2 linked regions of the Oryzias latipes genome follow. The protein of the gene in region 1 binds, or shares a complex with, the protein of each later gene. Links are inferred from orthologs where the notes say so. Each region holds a gene or a part of one and is shown on either strand. Other genes may lie near its edges. The genes, in order: mfsd1 and glmp.

Region 1 (15,073 bases):
GCTGAACCAGTTCAGCAAGTGTACATATAATACCTGATATAGGAATCCTATATCTTAAGTGCAACAACACAATGAATCAAGTACTTATTTGGGATGTATGCACCGTCCTTCTGGATACAAAAAGGGTCAAAGTTACATTAAGAATCCCGACTTTGTTTCATCTGTCAAGAAGTGTCATCATGAAGCAGTTTGACAGTCAGTTTGAGCCCAGAAACAGTCGGTGTAAACTGGAGTCCAAAGCGGGTTTTGGTCATTTGTCAGTTTAAGACACTGGGTTACGGAACAGCCAATCCAGACAGTCAGTTCTGGAGCGAAAAACCACAGATGACATCACTGGGCGGAGTCAGTCCCGCAGTCCTGGGGGGGACAGTGCAGGCTCCTGGCTCTGAAACCCAGGACCATGTGTGTTCGTTCACCATCATCATCATCATCATCTGGAAAATATCAATTACAGCATGGACCAAAAATAAATTAGTACTGGTAAGTCACCAAAAAACATGCAATTAATAAGCTTGAGGATTTCGAAATGGATGCAACTTCTGAGAAATCTCATGCAAAGAAGAACAGAAAGCCATCATGCCCAGAAAGAGAACTGGTGTGGTTTGTATAAAAAGAGACTGATCTAAATAACAACCACAGGTGCTTGGGCCGACATGCAGCCAGCTCTACGGGTGAAATGAAATGAAGGCCAAGGTTTCAGTCGATGCACTAAAAAGGTCAAGATGAAACAGAGAAGAGTTTGACAGCATCAAGTTGCAATTAATCCGGTTTTTCCTTCAACTCATGCTCGATCTTACACGTTAGTACCAGCAGCTCATGTTGCAAAAGATGGAATAAACTTGAAAACAAAATGAGCATAAAGAAATCTTAGATGAAAAACATTTTCATTTAACACAGTCACAAACGTTCAGTTTTCCCTCCACCAACAAGATTTTACTCTTTTTTAATGAATAAAAATCAGAAGGGTGAACCGAGTTTAAATAGTTAGATGGAGTTGCATTATAGTTATCACACTGATTTTTTCTGAGTTTTGTTAAATCCCTCCCAAAAATGTGATTCCAGATGCTAATATTAGGTGGCAATCACCACATAAACGCCACATAGGAGCAGTTGTTGTTTGTTTTTTTAGCCACTGTGGTTTCTTTCATATCCACAACCTGAGTTGAAGTCTGTTGCAGTGGACACTTTCCCTCTCAGTTAGGAAATATTTTGATCAAATTTCGAATTTTGGCAGAATTTGTGGACCTTATTTAACCCGCTTTCTTTCCTTTAAGAAAAGAAAACACAAACTGGAAAATAATGACACTCACAGTCACACTTATTTCTCAATATGTGACAAAATCAACTATTTATCATATCAGGCCATCAACTATAAAACACAAGATTTTCAAGTATTGAAAGTTTTTCAAGAAGTATTGGCATTACCTTATAATTTGTTATTATATAACTGATAATCTCAATATTACTGAAAAAGTAGTACAGCTAAAGACACTTCCTGCTTCAGTGAGACTAGATTCACTAACAAAGACCTTTGTAGCTCCTTAAATGATGATAGTTGATTAAATGGGAAGATCATTTTTTTGGCTAAGCTGTTTGGAAAAAAAGTTATGAAAGATGAAGGATGAATGCTACTCACTCCGCATCCGACGTGGCTTCTTTCTGGAGTTTGGCTCTGGCTGCAGCCGACTGATTCAAATCCCCGCCTGGAGCAAGACAGACAAACAAAAGGATTATGAAATGCATTTGTCTGAGTGTAGAGGGAGCTAAAGACGTGCAGGGTAGTAAAAGGGGAGGGTAGAGAGGAAAAAGAGAGGCGAAAACAAGAAATAAAGCAGGAGAGTCCAGGACGATAAAGTTCTTACCTTTGACGTAATCCACAAAGTACAGCATCACCACAGCGATCAATGCAACTGGGATATAAAGGGAGAAGAAATCCACATTGTTGCTCAAAAGTGCCAGGTAAGTTTGGTAAAACGGAATATTTAGAAGACAAGCAGAAAAGAGAGATAAAAATACTGACTGCAAATGCAGGCGCAAAAAAAGACCTCCAAAACCAGATAGCCTCTGGAGTCCAGGATGGCGCCGGCTGCCATGGCAATGAGAGCCAGGCCCAGGTTCTGGATGGACTGCATGCTGCCAGGCAAAAATGCAGCAAGACAAGTAACAGTTATATGAACAAAGAGATGTCCAAGCCAAGAAAAATAAATATTATTAAGCAACTGAAACATGTACGTACAAGCCATAGGCTGTTCCCAGCTGATGTTCAGGCACCATAAAGGCCACCATGGGCCACAGAGCACAAGCCAGCAAGGAGTACGACACACCAAGCAGAGACTGGAAGACAAGGGGATATGATGATTCATCTGCCATCATGTTCCAAAAACAATCCTCGGAAATCTGTTTTAGTCACAGCAAAAACTACAAAACATATCAAATTTTGGTATAAACGTAATGAAAAGCTTGCTGGATCGACTTTTCCCTCTGGTTTCAGGACTTAAAATAAAAGGCCAATTTTAAAAACCCCTCTCTATGCATTAAAAGAACAACAACCACATAAGCAAAAAAGAAAAAAGTTTTGGAAAAATGATTCAGAAGTTTAAGCTATAAAAGCAAACTTTGCATTTCACAGTAAACTCAAACCAAACAAAATAAAGAAGACCTACCTCACTCCCAGGTAATCTGTCACTTACTCATCAATTAAACCTTCACTCTAAACCAGTAGCAAGATTCCCCGCCTTCTTTTCCCAGCCAATCACAATCATATTTCTGATTGAAATTCATGGATGTTTACTCTGTGCTCCATTCTCCACCATGACCAACACTCATGGACTGGCCTCAACCACCATTGGTGTCTAGGCTCTGGGCTTTACTCATCTGAGCCTATCCATTCAGAATAAAGACGTCATTTGCCCAGATTCTAACTGCCAAAAGACCATGAACTACATGTTTGTATCACAAATACATCTTTATTGTTCCTATACCCAAGATCTCTCCTTATTGAATTCATTGAAAAGTTTATATTTCATAGCTAAGAGTTTCAGACAGACAAAAAGAATTTTGCCAGCATCTGATCCCGTGCATCTTCACAGCTGTAAAGATTTTATTCCCTCCTGAACTAGATTTGGATAAAAGAAAGGATTTAACAGAATTCTTCTAGGGTTAAAAATTGAAAGGAAAAGTTGGATCTTGTTTGTCGTAACTTTTGACAAATGCATCCTTAATCAACAATTTTCTTTAGAAAACAGAAATTAGGGGTTGATAAAACCAGGTAAGGCTGACATCAAGATTTAAAAAATATAAATGATGGCTTGACTAAAGGTACTAACTTTCACGCCCGACTCTACTGTGCAATAGTTCACTAAAGTACAGCACATATTTCTGCTTTCTTTAGTTACCATGGCAATCCATGGGTTCCAGAAGGTAAAGGCCAGCATCATGTGAGCCGCAAGCGTTGCAACCACGGCCATCATCACCCAAACCACGTTCCTGCCCGTCTTATCAACCACGAAGCCCAGGACGGGAGATGCAGGCGCTGAGATGATGTACACAATACTGGGAAAAATATGCCACATCAGCCAAAATGTATGCTTTTGAAATCATGCAAAGATTCACTATTCCTTAAATGTAAAGCAATTGGGTTCAAACGGGCTGAGAAAAAAGAAAAGAAAGTTAAAAAAAAAAAAGCCACAAAAATACTTAAAAAATACTACAGTCCACAATGCAGATTTAATTCCAAAAGAAATGTGAGCTACCTGTTGACAGCTCTGGCTTCAGCTGGAGAGAAGTTGAATTTTTCAATGAAGAATACTCTGAAAGTCAAAATACGATAACGGTTCACAGCATATACTTGCACAGATATGATCAGAAAAAGAGAGCAAATTGAGTTGCTAGAGTAACTCAATCTTCTTCGTATTGGTTCTGGTTCCCATTGGCATTGCGTTGTCTGTGCACTGCATCACACAAGCACTTCACTTCCGTACATACAGTTTCACTTTTTTTTTTTATCTTCTATTTTTTTTAAGCGTCTCATGCATTAGACAAAGCACTGGACATCCTACTTAATCACCCTATTTCCTGAGCTATAGAAGTGGAACTAACGACGCATCGCTCGGACTGTCAGCCTTAAGTAATGCAAAGACACTGCAGCAATAATGAGGAAGAGTTATGGCTGTGTATGAGTCACAGAATTGACAGACTACTTACTGGCCCAGTCCAATAAAAGGGAAAATGGCAACATAGTAACCCACGCAGATGATGAAGACGAGCCACAGCGTGAGTGGGAAATCTTTCACATCGGTCAGCTTGATCACCTCGCCTAAAAGGCAGAGTGAGATTGGTTTGAAACAACACTTACTTGCAAATAATCACAAGAAACTCTTGGAATTCAGCGCTCTAAATGAGGTCAGAAAAAAATGCAAGGCCTTGAAATCTCTGCATGTTTCATTGATATTGCAGGACCCTCTAGTGATCTTTGATGGGTGCGTCAAAGTGGAAAGAGGTTGATGGAGGGCAACTTCTCATGTTACCTGTTTTTCCTTCTTCTTTGTGAAGGATTCTTTCTGCTCTCTTATCCAGGAATCCCAACACCAATGCACAGACTAAAGAAAAGAGGCAGGTCACTGCAGCTAGTAAGAGAAAAAGAAAAAGATAAATTAGTTCAAAACAAACAAACAAACAATTGACCCTTTTTTCAGAATGATAAGATTATCCCAGCATGTTGGATTTGTGTTAGCTGACACAATTGTCTTTGTGCGTTTGTCTGAGATGGTCAAAGTGCAGTTTTAAGAACACAGGAGCAGGACAAACATATCATAAACTAAGACTACTGCAAGATCTGCAGAAATGGTTGCAGTTCTTTGCACGTAGTAAGAAATAAAATTGAACCGACACTTCTCCTTGTCCTTGTGACTCTTTTTGAGGTAGCGAGCTGCACTTTTGGTTCTCTTTCTTACTTCTCTTTGCTGGCTGTGTAATCTGAGATCAGCACTTGCAGGGAAAGGATCTAGTGTTTCCAGCACGGAGGCAGCAAAAGGCAGCTAGAATCTCACTTCATGATTTTAGACTAGTGTTGAAGCATGGAGTTTTGGCAGGTGTGTGTCACATACCTATCATGAGTGATGCACCAAGCGTAGTGGGTCCAGGTGAACCAACGACAACTGCAACTTTGTTGTACACCCAGCCCATAATGTTCATATTGACTGTGCTGCCCTACATGTATCAGGGAAAAAGATACACATTGTGTCAGCTCGTAAAAACAAAAATTGAAATTACGTTGTTGTTTTTCTTAAATCCGTACCAGTCGAGCCATGCTCAGCTGCAAGCCAAACACAAGGTTGAGTTCTTTGCCTTTAAACCAATTGACTGCATATGTATTCTGGGCAACAGCCAGCGACTCGCCTCCAATGCTGTTGAAGAGATGAAGAAATAAATAAAGAATGTAAGACATAGTTAGACATGTGTTCCTAAAAGGTTTAGAGACTCTTCTTGTTTAGCTTAAAGACCCACTCCAATGAAAAGGGTGTTTTTAACATGTTCTTGTCGCGTTTTTCTCATGATCGAGTAAATATGTCAAAGAATTTAAGCTTAAAACTGCATTTCTGGGCATTTCTTTATTCAAATCGGGGTGAATCGGGAGCCGATTCTGTTTGAAAAAGCTCTCAGGTGTGACGTAGGAACTGAAAGTCTCCCTGCTCCGCTCCATTCTGATGCATCCACTTGTAGACAAATAGATCCATCAACGTCTGAGCTGCAATCTGGCTCAAAACTGTACAGTTGGATCGCTCTGATTAAGGGTGCAACGCTTCACAAAACTCACGTTTCAGATCGTGTCACGGTTTTAGAGTCACGGTTCAGATCATTTTTTGGATCAGTAAAACAGAAAAAATAAAACAACAAAATAAAAGTCTACAATTATTCATTCATCTTCTAAACCCGTTTTGCCGGAGCCAATCCCGGCCGCTGGTGGGCGAAGGCATGGGACGTCCTGGAGAGGTCGCCAGTCCGTCGCAGGGCCACAAATCACACACCCATGAACACACAATCACACCTATGGACAATTTAGAGTAACCAATTAATCTATGGGGCATGTTTTTGGACGGTGGGAGGAAGCCGGAGACCCCGGAGAGAACCCACACATGCACGGGGAGAACATGCAAACTCCAAACTGAAAGGTTCCCCATTGATGTTCTGTTTCAGGTCCCCCACCCGGGGCTTGAAGCGGGGGCCTCCTTACTGTGAGGTAAAAAACATCACTTTTGTTACACTGGTAATGTTAGGTTGGGTTTGTAAGATAGCAGAAGAGAGTGTAAACAAAGGGATGATGGGATATCAGTGGAGGCTGACTTCCGCACCAACAGTCCCCCCCCTCAAATCAGAGGCAAATGTCCTATGAACTCCTGCCGCTCTGCAGAAAATATGTCTTAAGAAAAAAGACAAAGGGTTCTTGATTTTGGCTCATAACGTTATATTAATAATTAAAAGACCGCTTTCTCAAGGTATAAAATTATTGTTGGAGTGGAACTTTAATAAAAAATGTCTTTTGATAGGCTGATGGGGTTACCCAAAAACAAAACGTCCAAGTTCCATCAGCCAGAAGAGATCATACCAAGCTCCAGCAGCAAAAATTACCTGTGAAGAAGTTCAAATACTTTTGTTTTTTTAAACAAATTAAAAAAAATAGCAAAAGAAATTAAGTTTTATCAAGTATCTGATGTGCGGAACGTTTCAAACCCTACCTGTCCAACGCAGACAAAGAGGGAGAAGATGATAGTTCCCAGTCTAAGGGGGGACATCAGCAAAACAATGCAGATGATCAGCATGGCAGACATTTAAGGAACACTTACACAAACATCTGGAAGGAATAAGTAAACATGCAGCTTGGTTTTATACCTGATTCCAAAAACCCTGTCGAGCAGAAATCCCCCAAAGAAGCAGAGGACAACATTTGGCCAGGAGTACCAGGCGTACAGCTGCATGAACTTTGCAGTGTTCAGGTTCAAGTCCTGGAGACAGGAGGAAAACATTATAGTCAGGACTGGTTCTCCGTCTTATTATTTCTCAAATCAGCAAGCTGCATGACAGCAAAGGACAATAAGAGTATGCATCCCATTTGCATCAGAAAAACTCAGAGAGACGGTATGGTTTGTTTCAAGAGGAAACCAGATGTTTACAAAAAAGTGAAAAACATAACTGAACGTTTGAGTTTTTATCTCTTTGTACAAAAAGTTTGGAAGTAATCTAAGTTTAAAAGCGTGTAATCCAGGGATTTTGTAACCATCCAATCTGTATAATATGTTTAAAAATGTCAGATAAGATCATTTTTGTGTAAAAAAAAAAAAAAAAACAACAAGAAAAAACAGTTTCACTTCTTCAACTTGCCTGGATGACTTGGGTTTGAAGTGCGGCGGGATTATCATAACAAAAATAGCTTCCTGAAAAAAAATATATTCAAATGATTTACCAAGAAACACATAAGAGCCTTTTTGTTAACCATTTCTGCTAACATCGATCGACAAACAGCAATAAGCAACAATTCGGAGCGCCCAGCAGCTGTAATCCCAAAATCCTCCCAGTCGTCAAACCGGTTTGGTGGAAGGTGTTTCCAGCTCACCGAATCCCAGGAAGCACATGAAAACCAGAACGACCGCCCGGTGGGGAAGGCGGCTGGGGTCGCAGATGGCGGACATCGGTCTGTCGTCTCCTGAGGCTGAGCGCCGCTCCGCGGGGGAGCTTTCATCGTCCTCCAACAAGTTCTGCCGCTCCACGAAGTCCGCCATGTTCGACTGTTTGGTGAGGAGCGACCGATCATGTGACCCAGCACGGCGAGTGAGTCACGTGGCATCTGTACGCGCGTGCCTTCCAGGCGCGTTCAAAGGCGCGCGCTCACTGTTTAAGCAGCTTTACAACATACAACCATGATTAGGACAAAAGGTCAAAACTTAAACAATATTCAGCGTAATATTCATTCACAAAAAAAAAAAGTTTACTTATTCCTTTCGTTTTTTTTAAAGTCATCCTTTAGGCTTCTAAGAAAAAAAGTCAAAATTATTAGGATTAGTATTCATAATAATGAGATCAAAAGTATAATTTATGGCATTTAAAATAACGTTTATAAAATAAAAAAAACCCTACCTATCAAAAAGGGCTAAATTGTGAGATGAAAAACAAAATTAATAAATAATAGTCAAACTTTTGTGACCAAAAGTCACCATTATGAGATAAAAAGTCATAATAATGAAAAATAAAAATAAATCAAAGTTACAAACTATGCACTTGTCACAGTGGTATTTACTACAAATAAAAATAGTATAATATTAGTGGAATACATGAATAAAATGTTACAAAACAAAAGAATTAAAAAGAGTAACCACATGCCTGACTCCCCTGTTATTAGGCTTAAGACCTGGTGTCATCCTAAAGGCTCCTACCAAGTACTACTGACCACACCAACAGTGATAAAAATAGCTCATTGACAAAGCTGGATCCACCTGTCTCATCCTGAACTCTGTAAGTTTCCTAAAGGGTTACCCACTGCTGCAGACAAGGCCTAAGTCTGGCTACAAAGGGGGACAGGATGTTTAGTGTCCCTTACGTCTCAAACCGGTGAAGCACATACATTAAAAATTAATTAAATCACATTATCTGTCACACACCTAGGTGTGTGAAATTAGTTCTCCGCATTTGACCCATCCCCTGGGGGAGCGGTGAGCTGCAGACCCAGCCGCGCAGTACTTAGGGAGAGACCTGAAAGGACTTGCAGACTTGAACTGAGCAGACACAACGTGGAGCCCGTTTAAAAAAACAAAAAAAAAGACAAGAAAAGAAATATTTGGCCTTGCAGTTTTCAAGGAACCATAACTTCTTTGTTAGCCCTGATAATTGTGATTGTGATCCCCATCTTATAGTATTTTGAATCAAAATAATGAAACACCGAAGCCTCTACCAAAGACAAGCCCTCAGACTATGTAAACTATGAGCCCGTTGACACGATTTAGTGAAGTGAAAGTCCTTAACGTACAGCAAGTAACTCTAGGTATGAAATTTGTCCATAGGTGACTCTTAGCAGTATAGGCTGGGAGGCCCATGAAGTCTGATTGCATTGCATGCATGGGTCCCAGGCCTTAACTCAAAATAGCTGCTCCACCCCCTGAATTACATGTAGCATGTATAATTGAAATGATGAGTAAATTAACCATGAAAACTGAATGTGCACTTTGGGACAAAGTGTTTGCACCAATCAAACACCAAAAGAAAAGAAAAATCCGTGTTTAGCACCAATGTTGCTGCAAACAATTCTACTTTTTTTGTTTTAGCAGGAGGTGAATCTAGTATGGGCCATATTGATGACAGCCTGTGCTCATCCACCCACAGCGTCACCACCCCACTGAAGCAAAGCAGAGCAGGCACCCGGTGGTACTGTGGTGGTGTCACCGTTCGCAGTGCATTTGTGGGAAATGTTGCGGGCACCTGTGCCCTGATAAATTTTGCCCATCTGGTTAATGTTGTTGCAGTTTCTAATAACTTACACTCACTTACAAACGCTAATGTTTGTGATATTTTGTCAAAATCTAATTCTATTGTAAAAGCCTTTTGGTCAACCTTTTGTTTTTTTGCAAATTCTTTTTGTATTTTGTGCAAGAAGACCACAACAAATTAAAATTCTATAAAGTTATTTAAAAAAAAATGAAAACAGATGAGGAATTGAAATGTTGTTTTATTGAATTATCAAATACATAATGTATTTTCATTATGGACGATCCAATTTCTAATCCATTCTCTTTCACGCATCTGCGTTCCAACATCTCTCCCCTGGCCACTTTCTCTAGCTCCTCTGGGGGGGACTTTCGATATCCAGCATCTCCGCCCAGTAGGACTTGGCCGGATGCCTGAGCTACCTCAACTGGCTCCTCATGATGCGGTCCTATTCCGAGCTCTCTCTAGATGACCGAGCCAGCTCATTTTGGCTCCTTATATATAGGAGCTGGTTTTTTCAGACATGACCCAAAGCTCATTACCATATAGGTGAGTCTCCGGACAAAAATCGACTGGTAAATTGAGAGCTTTTCTTTCTGACTCAGCTCTCTCTTCACCACAATGGACCGGCACAGCGACCGCAAAAAAGCAGGACAAGTGGGACATCAGTGTGCATTTTATAAACTACCAGAGTTAATATTTCTTGAATTATAGTTCTTTTCCGTCTTCTTTAGTATGGTATAGTGTAAAATAGTTACTTTTACAATAACCACAAACCTTGCGAATCTCCTGATACACGCAAGTGTATAGAGCTTTGTTCCTCTCTCGATGATCACTGCAGGCTTTGGAATGATTTTCAGCACTGGACAGCTCCCGCGTGCCCATCCAAACCGTGCTCATCAGAAATTATATATATATATATAAACAAATAATTCATAAAATTGGAATAACTAAGATATCTGTTTATACTTTTGCTATGTAAATAAACATTTATATTTCTGATTGATACATAATTAAATTTACAATTTGTTTTAATATTTCTTCTTGAGTTTAAATTGTTTTACTAAGCACATATCAGTCTATCTTTTAGGAAGATTGAATGCATGTTTTTTTTTCTTCTTTTTTTTTAGAATGCAATTTTTGTATCTATGAAAGAATGTTGTATCTAAGTAACATACAAAGAACGTTTTTGAATACTTGCTTTGATTATCTGTGCCCCAGCGCTACTGAGCTGCAACATTTGTCAAAAAAAACAAAACACAGTTTTTTGCTTTCATGTTTATTTTTTCACTTTCTTTTTGTCTTACATTTGATTTAAACTTCCAGTCTGATTTATGTGGTTCCCCTGCATACAAATGTAAAACCACTCTAAATGTTTAGTAATGACTATTTATTAAAATGAGAGCAAATTTAAAATCTGAAAATTACTATAATACAATTTTAGCTGGAGAAGGAAAATAGAACTTATTATTAACAATGGTAAAAATACATTTAAAAATATTTAAATATTTACAGACGTTTCAACAGCTTCACTTGCAGCCTTGTGTTTCTTTGCTTAGTCATTTCCCGTCAGTCAGAGGTAATCAGAGGGAAATTGCTTGTGTCAAGATGGTCACTCTGTACCCAAAGTCTTGCAAAGGAGAAACGCATATTGTACAAGATTAGAGGGCAGGATGTTCAAATTGACAGTAAGCAAATCAAGGAAACGTGTTTTGATGAGTTAACAAACAGTGGACAAAAGCACTTCCTCGGAACCAAAATAGAAATCATGAAAAGGAACGACAACTGCAGAATGCTTTCCCTTTTTCTTTCATCCTCTAAATTCCTCTAAATCCAATGAGCTCATTTTTTATTTTTGGAATTTTTACAAGACTTACAAACTTTGTTTACAGCAAACAGTCTATCATGCTAATCAAGCTCAGTCATGTACAGTTATTCACTGTGTTCAGATGGTAACTGTGATACTCCGTTGTGTGACAGTGTAGAAGTGTGGTTGATTGGTAACATCTGCATCTGTGTCGACGTTGCTGTTGGAGATTCCAAGGTGGCTTTACAGATTGTATTTGTCAGTCTTTTCCGGAACACCTTGCACAAGAAAACGTAAATAAGTGGATCCAAGCAGACATTGGTGGCAGACAGCCACAGGGTGGTTTCCTTTGCAATGTATAGTGCATTCTTTGCATGACAATCAATCCTCAGGTCCCTGGTTTGAGTCAGAGTATATGGTACGCGGGCCATATGAAAAGGGGCAAAGCAGATGACAAACACCCCCACCACTACAAAGACTTTTGCTTTGGTTCTGCGACGGGCTGCTTGGGACTTGCTCTTTGAGGCTTTGTACGACTCATACACCTTCTTGCTGATGAAGGTGTAGCAAACCACCATCAAGGCAAGTGTCCCAAAAAAGACAACCTGAAAACCAAAACAACATTTAATGAGGCACTCGATGTGGTTATAGTGATACTCCAATAATCTTTTGATCTATATTAAAAGTGTTACCAGAGGTGTTTTAATTATAATTATGCTGTTTTAGGCAACATTTAAAAAAAAAAAACTGTTGTTTTTTGGACATAATTTGTGTAGAGCGGCAGCAGTTCATCAGAACTTCGATTTGTGTGTGTGTGGGAGTGGGACACTGCTGTGTCGAGGAAAGCCTGCCCTAATTTCCTATCATCTCTTTGTTTACACTCTCTTCTGCTAGCTAACAGCCCCTCACAAGCCCAAGCTAGCATTAGAGGTGCAATAAAAACGGCGAGTTGTATGTGAACTATCAAACCTTATATTTTAATCTTCATTTTCTTTTTACATCTCCTCATCATAAGGAAAATGCTACAATAACACATTAAAAACACCAAAAACATTATTTTCATTGGAGTGGGTCTTTACATTTTTTTCAGCTGTAAATGATGCTCAATTATGAAAAAGTGTTATATCAAATTAGAGAAGAAAATTAGGAACAACCAACAACAGATGTCTAAAAGACTTAATTAAGCATTTAAAATTTAGTCAAAATATATAATTTCTACTTTCTCACCATTCAAATGAAGGGGGTCTTCGTGTTTGACACATTCATATTTCTTTATATGCTGTTTTTTGTCTTTAAAATAATGCAGCTATTGACTATAAAGCAGTTTATGGTCTTCATGTTTTGTTGTGCCTTCAATTGTGGAATCACAAAACTGATAAAACTACAAACTGGTTGAAAATCTACACAATATATTATAACTTTTTCATTAACTAGTTACCTGACAGAAGTAGTTGAATCTTTCATGCCAATATAGGCCAGCTTCGCTCTTCATGGAGGAGCACTTGAGTTTGTTTCCCAAGATACGTGGCTCCTTATTACTGAGAATGACGTTGGGGAGTGCCAAACACAGCATCAGCACCCAAACAGCTGCACACAGCAGCTGGCCAACACAAACCCGCTGGAGGACACACTTCCCAAAGGGCCTGACGATTTTTAGGTAGCGGTCCAGACTGATGAGGCCCAGCAGCAGGATGCTGATGTACATGGTGATGTAGAAGAGAACAGCAGAGTATCGGCAGTAAAAAGTACGCAGCTGCCCCACTCCTGCGTCACTCAAGATCTTCACCGGAATGGTCAGGGTCATCAGCAAATCGGCCACAACCTGTTGTGCAGAAAAAGCACGTGATTTCTGTATCTGCCTTGACATTTGGGTTCCCTGTGGCGGTGGCTTACCACATTCTTCAGATAGACCACAAATGTCGAGTTGTTTGGGATCTTAAAGAAGACCCACGCAGCCATAGAATTCAGAACAAGAGCCACGATGAAAAGGATACTGTACAGGCATGGGAACACCACTGCTGTCACACGATTGTCCTTTTCACACTTGAAGGACTCGTTAAGCGAGGTGCCGTTCATCTTCTCCTTTGTGGTTCGTTGAAAGATAAACAATTTTAAAAAGAACAGAAATATTACAGCCTCCATCAGCAAAAAATCAAAACCACACGCAAATGATTAGTGAAGTGCTCCTGTCAAACCAAACACAGGGCTCAGATAAATATGAGTTACTAAATACTAAAGTGCCAAAGATGTTGGTCACAATCTTAGAAACATCCCATAACATACAAAAAAATATCAACCAGTGGAAAATTGTACCAATAATTGATTCATTTTCAGAATATCAACCAAGTCCCCAAAAATGTAAAAACATTTTAGGCTACGTTACAGCATTTATCTTGTGCCTGATAAAGTGTTTGTCAAGTTGTCTTTGCAAAGAAACATTAGAATAAGACAACCAAACAGGAGGTGCAATAGAAGCCGAAGTGCATCCTAATGTTGTTTTTTTTGTTTTTTTGTTTTAACAGGTTCTTTATCTAAGAGAACGAAGAAGGAAAAAGTTGAGTCTTACCGTAAGACTTTATCGTGAACCAGATGGGACACTGAAACAACAACAGTGACGCAAATTTTAAAGAAAGAAGAGGGGGAAAAAAAAGGAAGCGGTAGATTGTTCAATTCCCTTTTCTTCTTCTGGATAAAAGGCAAGTCATGACATTAAAAAGAAAGAAAACAAAACAAAAAGCTTCAAGAAAAATAATAAATGGATCTAATATCGCTTTAAACACACAGAAAACTGTCTCTTTAGTGTTTCCCCTCAGCTCTCTCTGAATTTAAGAGTGTGCTCTTTGTGTGTGTATGTGTTTGGAATCTATTGCAATGGGTGGTCTCTGCAGCTACTGTGTGGCTGTCTTGTCACAACCCCAATAAGTTTGCCAGCCTTCCTCTGGGTGAAAAACCCCTTCCTTCCTTGCTTCCTGTTCTAATTGTCTGCTGAGAAGCTTTCTTTGCTCTGTGCCAGTCCCTCTGCCTCCGCTAGCTTGAGTCAGTTTCTGTGGTTGTTGATATGCAAACGCTCATTTTTTTGGTCTTAACTTACATGCAAAGACCTCCTGCAAATGCACTCAATGTCAGATAACAATTTTTTTCTCCTGCACTGTTCAGACAGCGTAATTCTAGTCAGTAAGCCACCAGAGAACCTAATCAAAGCAATAATCAACTCACATTGAGGTAGAACATGCATCAAACAGACTTGTAAAGTAGGTTATTTGCTTTGTCCTTTAACCGCTGTCTCTCCTAAACAGTGAACACACACTTTCATAGAAATCAAATATGAACAAGCGATGCCTTCATAACTTTTGTCATAAAAATAGTACTTTCTGAGAACTCTCCAACAGCACATCCGGTGGGATTGAGCCAAAAATATGCACAAAAGGGAGAGAAGAAGCTGATAAGTGACGTCCCTGTGTTTACCACAACCAAGTCCCAATTCAGCATGGTTGTTTTGACAGTAGGCATTTGCTAAGTGTTAAATGCAAGTAGACTTGTGGTTTGAAACCCACACATTACCAGTAGATGTGGGAGCTTGGTAGAATGCACACAGCAGAAAACAAGCAACATAGCCACAGCCACCAGCTGTCGTTTCAAATTTATTTTTTAATTTTTTTCACAACTCTTTAAGGAAAACAAATGGACAGAAGTGACAGAGAGGTGTAAAAGCAGTTCTGATCTTGGTGAATATTTTTTAAATGTATCTTAACAGTACATTCCACTACAGTAGTGAGCATGGTGTGGTATGATCTG
Region 2 (14,975 bases), on another chromosome or scaffold:
CTAAACATAAAAGAAATGTATGCTGTCAAATTGACATAACTGCTCCAAATCTAAAGCAGAAACATTTGCACTTATACAGTCCTCAGCAATGACGCATTAAATATAAGAAGAAAATTTATATATATTTACACCTCAATCATCTCGTAAGACACACTACGTTTCTCCATTTTTGGTATTATGAATAGAAAGGAGCAAAACTTTTTTATAAAGCAACACAGACCAGTTCTTATATAATGTATCAGTGAAAGCAGATTTGCTTTTGCGACTACGGTGGCCCTGAAGTTTAAAAGCAGCATTACAGACCTCTGAAGGGATATTCACAATTTATTCTAAAGTAAATCAAAATACTTTGTCATAACATTATTAAGCGTTGCTGTGTACGCTCAACGTTGTCCGTGCCCTCTACAGTTATTTATTGGTTGAATGTCATACATTGATATATATCAAACTGTTGAGTTTTATTTATAAATTCTGTTCAGATCTGAAGCTCATCTGATTTTTTTTTCTTCCTTTTTTTTCATAAAGACCAAAATGTGAAGAGGGAGTCGGGTCGTAAAGTTCAGACCGGGAACATCAGTGCTGCAAAGGTTGGTTCAGTTTGAAACATATTTCAAATGCTCCTAAAATCTGCTGGGTGTTCTGATTGGTTAGTGATACAATAGCTTAGTGAGTGATTGTTTGTTTGAAGTTGTCGGTTTATTTAACAGTTCAGCAAAATTCAAACCTGTCAAAAGGTTTTAATTATTTCTTAGCTTTTGTTTTTGTGTAGGAATGAATTTTTTAAACCTTTTGATTTATCCAAAAAAAACAGAAACGACAAAAAACTAAAGATAAGGAAGAAAAGCTATGTTGTGTCCATATTCTGACAGAAACTAAAACAAGCCTATGAATATATAATGAATCTGGGCTGACTTGTAAGGACAAAAGCAGTGCTGATGTGATTAAAAGCAGGTTTTTTTCCCCATGAAATGCTTCAACTTCAGTTGTTCTGGTAAATGAATTTAACTGTGTAATTGTTGGCTGGTTAGGGTCCCTCACATATTTTTTAACCAGTTTTTTTCTGTCTGTGATCTCTTCTTAGTTTGTTGTGCCTCAGGTGCTAACGTCTCTCTTTATTTCAGATGATTGCAGATGTCATCAGAACCTGCCTCGGACCTCGAGCCATGATGAAGGTCAGTTCAGCTCACCGTCTTCAACGCTTTCACGCACAATAACCCACAAAGAGTGTGTTTGTCTGTAGTCTGAGGCAATAACATGCGGTTTTTGCTGCTTTTCGTAGATGTTACTTGATCCTACAGGAGGAATTGTGATGACCAATGATGGAAACGCCATTCTTAGAGAGGTTAGATGGACAAAAAATGATGTTTTTCTGCTCAAAAATGTAACTTTTTAAAGTAAGTTGTGATGTTTATGTGTCTGACCCTTTTGTTTGTGGAAACAGATTCAGGTTCAGCATCCTGCAGCCAAGACCATGATTGAGATCAGCCGCACTCAGGATGAAGAGGTTGGAGATGGGACCACTTCTGTCATCATTCTGGGTAAGGAGATGTTCTTTTTTTTCTTCATTAATACATCTGACTGTTATCTGACTTGATCATTTGTAACTTTTTGTTTCCGTCTGCAACAGCTGGAGAGATGCTGTCCATAGCCGAGCATTTCCTTGAGCAGCAGATGCATCCAACCGTGATTATTAGTGCCTACAGACAGGCTCTGGAGGACATGCTTGAAGCTTTGAAGGAAGTCAGGTACACTCAGAACTGGACGATTTGTTTTAGCGAATATAGACATTTTTATTTCCCCATCTCTCTGCTCTCTCGCACTTCTGTTGTCTTGAGTAAAGTCGGCCCGCCGGTCTCTCGCACAGTGCAGATGTGAAAACAGCAGCAAGCAAAGAGGAGCTACTTCTTGCTGCTGGAAGTGCCCCCCCCCCTCCTAACTTGTGCTAGTTGCTTCAGTGAATCAGCTGAACATGTGACAATTTTTACCAGGATCCAGAAAGAACAGAACGTTTAATGAAAAGTGTTGATTTGAAGACAGCGGTGTCGTTACACACTGATGCTACGATGCTAAATGCTACGGTGCTATCATGCTATGATGCTGTGCTAAGGAGCTTTTCCGTGTGTCTCCTACATGTGATCACTGACCGGTTTGAAGTCAGACTATATTTTCAAGGAGCAAACTTTAAGACGTGGCGGATAAATCCAACAAAATTAACTTGTGGAACATTTAAAATATATATATTTTATAAATATAATGACAGACTGAAGCCAGTTTTTATGGAACTTTATTATTAGTGTCTTTGTAACGTTACAGAGGCGGAGTTGAGCTGGAAAAAGCCCCGCCTCCCCTCGTGAGAGCGCCGCGTCTTTACTGCCCATGGCAAGAATCCAAAACATGATCATCTTTTCAGTCTGTTTTTTTTATGATTCCATGTCAAAATGAATCAACTGGAGGCAGAATTAGGATTTTTTTTTTTTTTGTCGATCTGCTCCCCTTCAGTAAATCTGTCCTCGTTTTCTCAGCAGGTTTTTTTATTTGACCGTACAGTTGGTTCACCACAGGTGAAGACTGAAGACTGAAAGCCCTCTTCTCAGGGGGGCGATTTTCAGCAGGAAAACAGACACAACTCAACATTTCATAGACGGCGTGAAAACGGCAAAAGCAGAAGCAAAGATTGATTAAAAAAAATCAAAACGGAAGTTCCTCAGGAAAACATTTGTTTTTATCTGATGTTTTAATTATGTTGTCTTTCCATAAAATCATTTTTTAATATAACACCTATAGTTTTTCTTTCTAAAATATGGAATAATTTGGTTGGTAGAACTTTTTTTTTTTTCATTTATCAGCCAACTTGGCTGGTTAGTCAAAACTTAGATTTTGTTCTCTGGGTTTGTGACTTTAAACTTGGTGCATCAAACCAATCATTCATTCATCTTCTAAACCCGTTTTTGCCCCTTTCGGGGTCACGGGGCTGCTGGAGCCTATCCTGGCCACTCGTGGGTGAAGGCAGGGGACGTTATAGACAGGTCACCTGTCTGTCGCGGTGCCACAAATCAAACACCCACACAGACTCACATTCACACCTAGGTACAATTTAAAGTCACCAATTAACCTACGAAGAATGTTTTTGGGAGGAAGCCGGAGAAAACCCCCACATGCACGCACGGGGAGAACATGCGTCAAGCCACTCGCAGCAAAACAGTTTCAAGGCTGCTTCTACCAAATATGCTCTGCCGAGTGCGTTCTAGTATTTCTCTTTAGGAGGTGCTTAAGCTAGCGGTAGCTCCCAAAACATCTGCTGTATTGATTTCACAGTCAATGGAAACGCAGCCAGTGACAAATCTGTTTGATTTATGTAAAACAGAAGGAACATGAGCATTTTTGCTTTAAAAAAAAATTCTTGTATTTCTATGAACATATATAAAACAAATAAAATGAATAAATAAAAAACTAACATTATGATGGTAAATCTAATCAAAATCACCTTTGGTACAAAAACGTTTTACCTACTGCATGTAGGATGAAAACCCACCTTCCATCTCCTCTAGTCATCGTCCTGGTTCAACACAATGGTTTTCACAATACGAATGACTTTATTCACAAGTTCTAACAAAACACCAGTAAACAGCTAAAAACGATCGTTTTTTCTTTTCTTTTCCCATGATTCTCTAAAGTCACTGCCGCAAAACTCAATGCGGCTCATGAAACTACTGTAATATCAGTGCAAAGCTGCTTTTCTCAGAACCTGTTGGAATTGCATTAATTGGTTCAATTAGTTCAGAAAGGGTGTATCATATTCTGTCAATGGCAACAACTCCAGTCTTAAAGGGTTTAGTAATAGCATCCATAGTCTGGAGTGTTTTTGACTTTTTTTTTATTTATTTTTTTTTATAAATTGAATCCCTTATTCACATCAATTTCTTTCAAGACAGAACCATTTTTTTATTTTTGGTTGCAGGTGTAGTGGAGAAATGTATCCCGTTGAAATAATCTTTTTAATGAATATCACGGCTCAGGAGTAAATCTAAAGGCGTGTCTTAAAGAGTTGAACTTTCTGCAGCACTCCTGTGGACACATCAGATCGCTCCATGATGCTGAAGATCGTCAACTCTGCCATCAACACCAAGGCTCTATTCCGCTGGTCCGACCTGGCCTGCACCATCGCCCTGGACGCCGTCCGCACGGTGGAGCTGGAGGAGAATGGGCGCAAAGAAATCGACATCAAGAACTACGCCAAAGTAGAAAAGGTACTACCCTTGAATAACTTCATATCAAACAGGTGCGACTTTAAATGCGGTGAGTTACAAACGGCTTCCTCTGTGATCCTGCAGGTTCCGGGCGGGTTCATCGAGGACTCCTGTGTGCTGAAAGGCGTGATGATCAACAAGGACGTCACTCACCCCAAAATGAGACGGATGATCAAAAACCCCAGGATTGTGCTGCTGGACTGTTCTCTGGAGTACAAGAAAGGAGAGAGTCAGGTACAGTGCACTGGAGCTCGTGTCCTCAACGGCGCCGTGGTGCAGCGTTTGACCCGCCTGTTTGCCTCTAGACCGACATCGAGATCAGCAAGGAGGAGGACTTCTCCAGAATCCTGCAAATGGAAGAAGATTACATCCAGCAGATCTGTGAGGACATCGTCCGCCTCAAGCCAGACCTGATCTTCACTGAGAAGGGGATCTCAGGTTTGTCCACCTCAGAGCGGGAAGACATAGTCCACACAGAGGGATTGACAAATGTTCGAGTCCCACTTCGATTGTCTTTGGATCTGTTTTTAGGGAGTTCCCAGTGGTCTTTTAGTTAAGATTAGACTATTTCTAGCCAAAAAAATAAAAACGAGCACCGTTGGCAAAGAGCAACCCCGCCCACCTCTTCACTCCCAGTTACTGAAAGCTCTCAGCAGGGAGCTTCTACGTCACAAATACGATCTTTTTCAAGTGACCGTTTTATAATCTGCTCTCGATTCACAGCAATTTAAATTAAAAAAATGCTCAGAGATGCATATTTCAGACCAATTTTCTTGTTATATGTCCATCATCATCGGAAAAATGCCACAAGAACATGTTCAAAACACCATCGGAGTGGGATTTAAATACATTTGTTAAAATCGTCCATCCGTCTTGAAAATATTTGAAATAATTGGTTTAATTCTGACTTCTGGTCGTCTCAGATCTGGCCCAGCACTACCTGGTTAAAGCAAATATCACTGCAATTCGCCGCGTGAGGAAGACTGACAACAACCGCATCGCCAGGTACTTCGATTTCCGTCTTCTATCAGCGAACACGTCTGCAACGTGTCTGAACTCACCTGTTTGTTTGTTTTTCAGGGCCTGTGGAGCTCGCATTGTGAGCCGGACGGACGAGCTGCGTGAGGAGGATGTCGGCCTGGGAGCCGGACTGTTTGAGGTGAAGAAGATCGGAGACGAGTATTTCACCTTCATCACTGAGTGCAAAGATCCCAAAGCCTGCACCATCCTGCTGAGAGGAGCCAGCAAGGAGATCCTGGCGGTGAGGACACCACTGGCACGCAAAAGTTCCGATCGACCCGATTCATTCGCTTGGAGTTCACTCGCTCTGCTTCGGTTTACAGGAGGTGGAAAGGAACCTGCAGGACGCCATGCAAGTGTGCCGCAACGTGCTGCTCGACCCATTCCTGCTGCCCGGCGGGGGTGCGGTGGAGATGGCTGTGTCGAAGCGTCTGACGGAACGCTCGCGGGCCCTGACGGGGATTGAACAGTGGCCGTACCGGGCCGTGGCGCAGGCGCTGGAGGTCATCCCTCGGACGCTGATCCAGAACTGCGGAGCCTCCACTATCAGAGTGTTGACATCACTTCGGGTACAGAAAACACAAAATATCAACATCCTGTTGTTCCTTATGGCTTCGGGAGTTATATTTTTTTTATTTAAAAATTTTAAAAAAATTATATTTTTGGTTCAGGCGAAGCACACACAAGAAGGAAATGTGGGCTGGGGCATCAACGGGGAGAGCGGCTGTCTGACCGACATGTCAACTCTGGGAATCTGGGAGCCGCTGGCCGTCAAAGCTCAGACCTACAAGACGGCGGTTGAGGTAAGAGCGATCGGCGTGATGTTCGCCGATCGACAATGATGACCTCCGCCCTCACTGACGGGTCTGGGTTACGTTTTGCAGACCGCCATCTTGCTGCTGCGCATCGACGACATCGTTTCTGGTCACAAGAAGAAGGACAAGGCGGATGGCCAAGGAGCCGAGTAGATCCTCTGACGTCGACATTTCAACAGCCCAGTTGTGTGTGTGTGTGCGCATTTGTATGTGTGTGTGTGGGGACCAGGCGACTCACTTAAACTTAATAAACACAAAGTTAAGAGCTGGTTTCATTTTTGTGGTTGAAGATGTTTTTTTTTACAAGTTTGTGAATAGTTTGATCATACAAAACTTGGCTCATTGGATGATGTTTAATTGAGACACGTACATTAAGAGACAAAATATAAAAAGAATATACAAGAAATATCAGAAAAGCCTTAGAAATTCTCACCTCCTAGACCAAATTTATTACTGTTCCCTCAAATGAGAACACTTTCAGTTTTTATATCCATGCACACATCTAACTTCACAAATAAATGAATATACCCATAATCATTTAAAAACAAACACTCATTTGATTCCATGTAAATCTTAATCCCCAAATTTATAATCATAAATATTTAGATTTATTTTTATTTGTAAATGTTTATTAATATTTCCACATTTGTTCTTAAACTCCTTTATGTTTTTGGACAAGTGTAAGCTGGTTCTGCTCCACAGCCTAGGATTGCATTTTAGATTAATTACAGAATGTTAAAGGCAAACTTGATTTGTCAAATGAAAGAGTGGAATTTAATTATTCACTAATTCGTAAAAAAAAAAAAAAAAAAAAAAGGCCATCAAGGTTCTATATAGCATCATAAATAAGTTTTATGCTATTATTTAATATAGGCTAAGATCAAATACCCCAAGTTAAATAAAAATGTAATAATATAAACAGCTATAGGCTATAATATAATTTAAAAAATCTCTCCAAACACGATTTTGTTAACTCTAAGAAGCCAGTCAGATTTTTAGTTCATTTATTACTGAACTATTCACAAAAAGTTGTGTTCAAAAGAAAACGTATTTACATTTTTTTTATGACAGGGCAACCATTAGAAATATTTAAAAATGCGAAAGATAAAAGTTTTAGTTTTTCCCATCTCATATCAGAACTGCTGATTTGTCTAAATCTGTCACCGGAAATGATAAATTGTATTATTTTCATCTAGGTTTAGAGTATAGTTTTGTTTTTGATTGCCCAATACATGCTAACAATAATATGTAATCCAAATTCCCCGAATATTTTCGGTATGTGGGAAAAAAAAAGTCAAAACTCATTATTTATGACTGTTTCTTTAAGAAGGCTGGAGGGGGCGGGGCTTCTTAACGCTCAGCTGACATGAAGTGGAGGGTCATGTGACTCAACGCAGAACTTTCACAACAGTTATGGCGGCTGCAGGGACAATGATAGGCAACAGAGTTTTTGTTGTTTTGCTTATTTTACGGTTAAGTTTTTGCCCGTGTTTAGTTGGCGGGACAAACGAATATAAAAGACAGGTAAGACAGTAAAGCGTACCCGGAAGTTCTTTAATTTAGACCCTAATGTTCGACAAAAACCACGAAAAATAAACAGGAAGTGAAAGTTTTGATTACATTATCATATATCATGGCAAAAATGCCACTAATTCACGCCTAGAAATCGAAGTTTTCCTTTTGTGATATTCTTAGTTATATCAATTCATTTGTAGTTTTCAGCAATTTCTTCTATTGTTTGTGCTCTTTCATTTTGATTGCAGATTGAATGATTGGTTTTCCGAAAATATAACTTTGATCCTGATGTATTATTTTCATATGGCGATGTCCCTTAAAACTTGTTTTTTTGTACGCTTTAGTAATCAAAATTTTTATTCAAATGTTTTACTACCTTTCTTTCCTTGTTGTTTACTTTAAATGACGCTGATTAAAAAACGTTTTACCGTCTAAATGACCATTTGTAAATTCACCTTATAAGTTAAAAGGCTTTTGTTCTTTGCAAAAAAAGTTGCCATGTTTATTGCATTTTATCAGCTGAGATAATTTGCCTAAATAATTCTGAAATAATATTCAAAATAAGCTTGAATAAATATATTATAATTATCTTCGTTTGTAGTTAAGAAAATCAATAAAGGACTTTTACTTCGAAAATATTTGCTTTTTTTTTAGTTCTTGTATCCTTCAGGCTTTGTGAATATCACAGTCACGTGAAAATGTAAACTACTGTGAGATAAAATCTCTCAATCAGGATGGTTTACTTTGTGTTTATTTTCTGTGTCATAACAAAATTCAAATTACCCGATAAAATTCTATATTGAAGCAGACATGAATCTGCTGCATTTTCATTAATCTGCAGACAATCTTTTTGATTTTTCTCACCTGTGCTTATTCAGTTGACCCTGCAGTTGAACCCAAACTCAACATCAGTGCCACCTGGTGGTGACTTGCTGCATGTGCGAGCTGTGGGAGATAACGACACGCTGCATTTCCTGTGGTGCAGCCAGGGGGCGCCAACGTTGCTGATAGTTCACACCAACACAAGCAACTCTTTAGTTCAGGTTTGACAGTAGTGTATTTTTTTATGAAGTATTTGTAGTATTAATGATTAAATTAATGAACAAAAAATATACTTTCTATTTTTTCTTTCATCAAATCTCTACAAAATAGCAATTTCTTCACATTTTGATGCACAACTAAACAGTAAATTCTGTTTAGCAGCATTTGCATTCACTATAATCTGTAATTATTTAAATATATATATTTTTCTGTTTAATGAGAATTTACTTAAATGTATATTTGGGAGATAAATAATTTTTCTTTCAGTCATTAATGAAGCTATGATTATCCCTTGTGCTATCCTATGGGGTCCAGATGACCCAATTCTTACATTGACGTGTTCTCCCTACCATGACAGAGGTGGATACAGGTGAAGAGGATTTCATGTAATCCATGGACACCAGTGAAGATCACAAATCATTGAAGAAAAAAGGTTTAGCGCACTGTGTAGTGGGTCTAGATGACCCCAGTTCCAATGTCAAGTGCCTATGATTGCACAAGGGTTACAAGTTTTAAGAGGAATTGAACATCATAATAAGGTGTGTTTAATCTGCATTCATTTTTCGGTGCATTAGGTGAACTGGACTCAGTTTTTGAGCCGTAACGTCAGCGGTGGCCTCAGTGTGGAGCCGCAGAGCAGCATCCAGTACAGCATCGCCGTGGTTTTCAGTCGGGTCAGTTGGGAAATTCTGCTAGCTCAGGTCTCCATGGAAACGTTGGGTTTGCTTCATAAATCTGTTGTGTCCCTCAGCTGCTGGAGTATGACGACGCGAATGACACCGCCATGCCAGATTCCGACTTCTTCCCTCCTTACGAGCTCCAGAACCTGAACTGGAACCGCCTGGAACTATTCGACGCCAAAGCTCGGCTGTGCGGAGAAACCCCCGAGTTCGGGAACGGATCCCTCTGCCTGACGGTTTGAGGACACTTTTTAATTTCTATGTTAACAAAACTTAGAGAAGTATTCATTAATGTTTTGATGAATCGTTCCCTGCAGTTGTCTGTCTTTGACTCCGACGGGCGTGCAGAGTCTTGGCCCCGCCTCCTGCACTCAGCTAACTCCTCCCAGCTTGAGGTTTGGCTGCATGGTATCATGCCACGGTCGGCAAACTCTAGGTTCTTGCTGGAGATGCAGGCGGTGGGCGGAGACTTCCCTCTGAGCAGAGTGGATGTCCGCCAGTTCATTGACGACGAGTTCACGCCGTCAATTTTTAAGGTGACGTACCGGAGGAAACGTCAAACGTCAGAGTCGGAACCAAACATGGACAGCCTGTTCCCTTCACCCGTCAGGTGTCTCAGTGGGTGTCTCCTGTGAAGGGCGGCTCAGACGTGTCGGGTTACGTCCAGTGGAAGCCGGTGGCGTACCGCCAGTCCAACCCAGCCCTGGAGGACGCCACGCCATGCCGCTACTCGGACCCCCAGACTCAGGACGGAAACGCCACGGCAGCTTCTTCCGCCCTCATCCAAGCTTTCTTCTCCCAACCCAACATCACGGGGCTGAACGTGAGCTTTGGCCTGGCAGGAGAACCGTTCTACAACAGCACCAGGTTCCTCAGCTGGTGGGTTCCCTTCTGGTCAACCTTTAACCACGGGTCAGGGTCAGACGACAAACGCATCTTCTGTTTCAGGACGATGCTGGTGGGTGTCGGAGCTCCTCCCGTTGACACCTTCTCTCCGATTGTCCTCGCCATCATGGCCGTGGGTCTTGGGACTCCCATGATCCTCTTGCTGGTGGGCGGAGCCTTGGTTTGCCTCCATAAGAGGAGGCACGGCTCCCCGGCAACCTACCAGCCAATCAACTGATGGATGGAAGGACAGAGACTCTTTTAGAAATGGTTTAAAGACATTTTCTTGCGGGATTCATATTCCAGACTTTAGTCTCTAACCTGGAATAAGCAGAAAGCACCAGCAGGATAGTCTGACCTAAAAAGGATTATGGAACTTTAGGATCAAACTCTTAAATTTAAGGCAGTTTTTTGTGTTTGAATCGGAAATATTTGCCATTTAAAAATAATATATATATTTTTTTCTGTAAGATTTACGTTCTTGGTCAGCCGCTTGCTGATATTTTATTTTATTAGGAGGATTTGTTGCATTTTTTATATAATTAGATGCATTTATACAAACGTTCAGGGAGTTTTGATGATTAATTGTGCCAGTGTTTGTTTGCCAAGTGTTCTAGTTTGGCCATTACAAGTTCAAATTATCTTTTTTTTTTTGTTGTTGCCAAGGATCGAGGTTTATCAAAAACCATTTGATGATTTGAAAGCTGCCCAGCAGCTGATTGGCTCATATATTGTCTAAATAAATCGCTGAAAAATCTGTTTTTTTTGTTACTCTCAGACACATTTGTCCTGCTGGTTAGACAATTATTTTTTTGTTAAAGATAGATTTTCTTACACTAACGTTTTTATTTCAGCTGTAGTTTAGGTCATTTATCCTTCAACGAATAAGCAAAAAGAAGAAGCCAAGTCTGATAAACAAATGAAAGAGACATTTTAGGCTAAATTGTGTCCAAACTGGTAAAAGTATTTAGAAGTTAAGCCTCCCTCGTATTAAGTTATCAAGATATTTGTTTTGAGCTGCTGAGAAAAACAGGAAAAACCATTGAAATTAGCAAATACAAAATATTTGTAGAATTTTTGTGCTTAAAATCAGAATAAGTGCTTTTTTGCTACTTTACAAGGCAAAATAAAACCAAAGATTGACTTTCTGCCTTTTCTCAGTTCCCTTTTTTTTCATAAATCAGAATATTTTTCATTCCATTAACACAAAATTACATAAAACATGTATTTTCAGGTAATTGTCATCGAATTTCAGCTAAATAGGATCCATACATTTGAGCAACACAACCTTTTGTTTGTAAAACACCTGCAGAGACGTTTGACCTTCAGCTCTTGTAAGAATAATTTCGACAAAATGTTAATAAAGGCAAAAATACATTTAAAAGAAAACTTTTGGATTTAAAATAAAAGCTTAAATCAGAACAGAAACAAGGTGGTGGTTCTTCATTTCATAGTCACGTCCTGATTAAACTTAACCCGTCAGCCAATAACACCATCAGTGATCAATAAGTTGTTGACCGCATTCATTCATAAACAGTTTAATGGTGTGCAAACTCCGCCCACTTTCACAACAGCTCAGGTTTACAGCTTTTTTCCTTTAAGAACACCATTTTAAAATCATTATTTAAGGGTCAGAAATCTCAAGTTTCAGAATCCAAACATCGATTTCACTAAGTAACAAACCGTGTTTCTTTTTTTATTTTTTTTAATAAGCAGGAAGACATTTTTCTGTCTTATTTTAGCACAAAGTTGACCCCGAAAGTCCATCAGGCTGGGAGACGGTTGACGCAGAAGTTTCATTTGGTGTTTTGAAAGACAGCAAATACTGGATGAGACCTCATACAGGAATTTAAGGTGGACGATACAAGTAACTCCAACGGATGAAGCTGAAAGCGTCTGAGGATCCTGCAACAGTTCGCCATCCCATCGTCCAAATCTGCGTCTTTAAAGTCAACGTGAACAGCGTTTTGTCTTTCTGTCTCCGGTCATTGTTGCACACCTTCTGCTAAAAATACTGAGGAGAATTTAAAAAAAAAAAAAACAGTGGAGCAGCTCTCGAAGTCCTAGATGGATTCAATCTGCCGTCGGACTTTTTCAGAGGCCCGCCGATCGAGCTGGCGCTGACGGACGACCACGAGAGCCGCGAAGAAAGCTGTCAGCGCCATGGTGGCGGCTTCAAACTTCCAGAAGAGATGCTCCTCCATCGAAGCAGATCGACAACTGAAAAGAAGAAGACGGTTCATTCCTTAATCGTGAATAAATGAATCTAATCTTTTGGATGATTTCAGTTTCGTTTGTTTTTAATTATGCAAATGATCATTAACAGTTTAGATTTCAGAGTAAAAGCTGAGAGATTCATGCATTTTATCAGCTAGAGATTTTAAAGGATGATTTAAAACGGGAGTCTGCAACCTTCAACACTTAAAGACATCCGGGTTGATTTCTCAATGACCATAACCACCGCAGATGGGGGAAAAATGAGACACTGCTTTGTAGTTATGTTGTTTTTACTGTTATGATAATAATAAATGTACCTTTTTTTGGCATATACAGAACATAAAAGGAAAATTTCCTTTTTATCTAAATAATAAATTCTTTATAAGTTTTGATCTAGGTTTACATGACTTCCTTTCAAAATAAAAAGACATCCTGTATCACAGAATTATTTCAATCCAGGACAAACAAACTATAAACAGTTTACTTTACCATTTGTGGTGCATCTCAGTCAGAAATTTGTAAATCTAACAAACCAATTTTAAATTAGAGGTAATTACCGCCCCTGACCAAATTTCTCGGGGCATAAACAACTTCAAATCCTTGAAATTTTTTCAAAAGATTTCTAAAAAAGGTTTCTGAAAAACATTTTTTTCTTCAAGTAGATTGCCACAGTTGAGGGCTAAAAGATCCACTTGGAGCTCCAGAGTCTCAGATTGCAAACGTGGTTCCAGTAAGAATCCAGAACTGACCTTTTGTAGTCTTCCCTGCTGGATTTAGTGCAATTGATCCTCTCGACATATCCTGTTTGTTTGCATGCAAACTGTGTTTTCTAGAAAAACATACAAAAAACGATCGCTTTAGTAGAATTTCCATATAGAGTACACGTGTTAGAATCCCAACATGATCCGATGCTTTTAAATTATAAGTGTTGCAGATACAATAAATGGTAGAACAACATTTCTTTCAGTTTGATATAATATTATTAACATATGGGTCAAAAAAATCCAGCTGTATTCAATTCAAATAACTTACAGAGTGGAAGTCGCTGCAGGGTACGCACTCGTCCACCACGACAAACTCCTCCATGAGCCAGCAGGGAGTGGCCACGGGCTTCACTGCTGCCGCAGAGAACAATGCAACCATTTTCAGCGTTACATCATGAAACAAACAGTTATGGGTGACAAACATGGCTTAGCTTTACCTGCAGTTTTCTCTTCGTTAAGCAGCGCTGCTCCAAACACTCTAAAACCAAAACAACATGAGAAACAGTTAAGGCTACTGATGGACTGAATTTAAAGTTTAAATACAGTAAAAGTCTTCTATATTACTTTCAATCCACATTTGTTTTCTTCTGAATCAGATTCACCACAATCTGAGTAACAATTTACAAGGATAGTTCTCTATTTTAGCGGCTGTGTTTTCCCCCTATAAGCGTAAACCTCAACCTCAGATGAGACGCAGTTACCTCATCAGTTTGCCCTCTGACCCCAGCACACAGACTAACCTGAGAGACACCAGGCCCCAGAAAAGAGCGTGAAGGAGGAGGAACCGCGGCCGACAACAAGCAACCGGGATCCGACAGTCGCTCTCCATCAGTCTGCTTCTCCAGCTGGGTGGGACCACAGCCACCCTGAGTCTTCGCTTTGGGTCAGTGGTCTGTCCGGACTGGTTCTGGGCCTGCGAGCCCTTCTTTGGTTCACAGATGGGGTCCTGTTTGTCTGCTTACATGATGGTCAGACTGGGGGAATCGTTTTAAGGTAGCAGGAAGTTTACACCTGAAAGATGAAACAGTTCTGTCAATCAGTAAGTGATTATTGCATACAAATTATATTTTGGAATATATAACGTATTAAGATATAAAAGGTGAAGACAAACAGAGAAGTTAACAATAACAACCAGTCATTGATCCACCAAACTGGCTAACCCCCAAAACGGTAAATCCAGTTAACTTAATGTCATAAATGGAAACACACAAATTAGAGTCAACAAAAGACAAAATAACGTCATGTTTTCGAGATAGAAATCAATTTAATCTTTACAGACAACAGTCGTCTACTTACTACACTGTCTGGTTAGTAACCAACTAAGCTAGGCTAATATTAGCTCAGTTTAGCTAAACTCCGTCCACTCACCGTAATCCACTAAATCAACCGACATTCCGGAAGCTAGGAGACGTTTACAACAAGAAACTTGTTTATAACGAGCCGAGACTGAAACTAGTCGATAAATCTGATCCGCTTTGGTGGTTAAATGCAAAAACTGCCACCGGACCTGTTTACGGCCTCACGTCGATACAAAGACGTCACAAAACACAGGAAACTCTTCTGGTGTGGTTCTTTCAAAACAAGAGCACGTAAAGTCCTCCCTGGTGAGAAATGACTCACGTGTATAGTTTTGTCATAAACCAGTTAAAATTTTATTTTATTCTTATACATAAAAATAAACATATTTATCATTTGGGATTGCTCAAAAAACAACCAGAACAAGTTGCATAGTTTCATCATAAGAGTTTTCCTCCAAATAGTTCAAGGACTAAGTCAGTTGTTATTCGTAAC

What was found.
Region 2: the proteins of mfsd1 (region 1) and glmp are in contact, whole or in part, in a cryo-EM structure (PDB 8R8Q), measured with the Mus musculus proteins. The link is inferred for Oryzias latipes from reciprocal best matches to the Homo sapiens genes MFSD1 and GLMP. Residues at the interface, in NP_080089.1 of Mus musculus: Val288, Glu292, Lys293, Arg295, Phe349, Phe351, Leu411, Asp412, Lys414, Gly415, Tyr416, Leu417, Leu418, Val421, Ile424, Ser428, Leu432, Val435, Leu439; in NP_064387.1 of Mus musculus: Glu250, Asn252, Ser253, Ile254, Asp255, Asp256, Glu257, Pro260, Ala261, Phe263, Gln264, Arg292, Phe364, Leu367, Val368, Ile371, Met372, Ala375, Ala378, Leu381, Met382, Gly385, Phe389.

The regions. Positions count from the first base shown.
Region 1 is NC_019871.2:13,132,882-13,147,954, reverse strand, and holds the start of mfsd1 (major facilitator superfamily domain-containing protein 1), read right to left. Parts: upstream 7,832-15,073; 5' UTR 7,776-7,831; coding exon 7,610-7,775; intron 7,431-7,609; coding exon 7,378-7,430; intron 7,002-7,377; coding exon 6,889-7,001; intron 6,778-6,888; coding exon 6,735-6,777; intron 6,628-6,734; coding exon 6,560-6,627; intron 5,406-6,559; coding exon 5,297-5,405; intron 5,209-5,296; coding exon 5,106-5,208; intron 4,626-5,105; coding exon 4,527-4,625; intron 4,316-4,526; coding exon 4,204-4,315; intron 3,810-4,203; coding exon 3,753-3,809; intron 3,553-3,752; coding exon 3,396-3,552; intron 2,335-3,395; coding exon 2,237-2,334; intron 2,134-2,236; coding exon 2,021-2,133; intron 1,911-2,020; coding exon 1,863-1,910; intron 1,704-1,862; coding exon 1,637-1,703; intron 839-1,636; coding exon of another isoform or gene 760-838; exon of another isoform or gene 450-759; intron 435-449; coding exon of another isoform or gene 428-434; exon of another isoform or gene 1-427. Other genes in the region: P2Y purinoceptor 12, read right to left, coding at 11,404-11,883, 12,717-13,100, 13,172-13,420. UniProt on the Homo sapiens protein: Lysosomal dipeptide uniporter that selectively exports lysine, arginine or histidine-containing dipeptides with a net positive charge from the lysosome lumen into the cytosol.
Region 2 is NC_019869.2:4,732,695-4,747,669, forward strand, and holds glmp (glycosylated lysosomal membrane protein), read left to right. Parts: upstream 1-7,317; 5' UTR 7,318-7,495; coding exon 7,496-7,606; intron 7,607-8,475; coding exon 8,476-8,640; intron 8,641-9,213; coding exon 9,214-9,312; intron 9,313-9,389; coding exon 9,390-9,554; intron 9,555-9,635; coding exon 9,636-9,854; intron 9,855-9,928; coding exon 9,929-10,197; intron 10,198-10,266; coding exon 10,267-10,441; 3' UTR 10,442-11,351; downstream 11,352-14,975. Other genes in the region: cct3 (T-complex protein 1 subunit gamma), read left to right, coding at 526-587, 1,122-1,172, 1,280-1,342, 1,442-1,538, 1,628-1,745, 4,061-4,247, 4,332-4,481, 4,553-4,685 and 5 more; protein JTB, read right to left, coding at 12,267-12,423, 13,170-13,249, 13,453-13,538, 13,622-13,662, 13,925-14,013. UniProt on the Homo sapiens protein: Required to protect lysosomal transporter MFSD1 from lysosomal proteolysis and for MFSD1 lysosomal localization.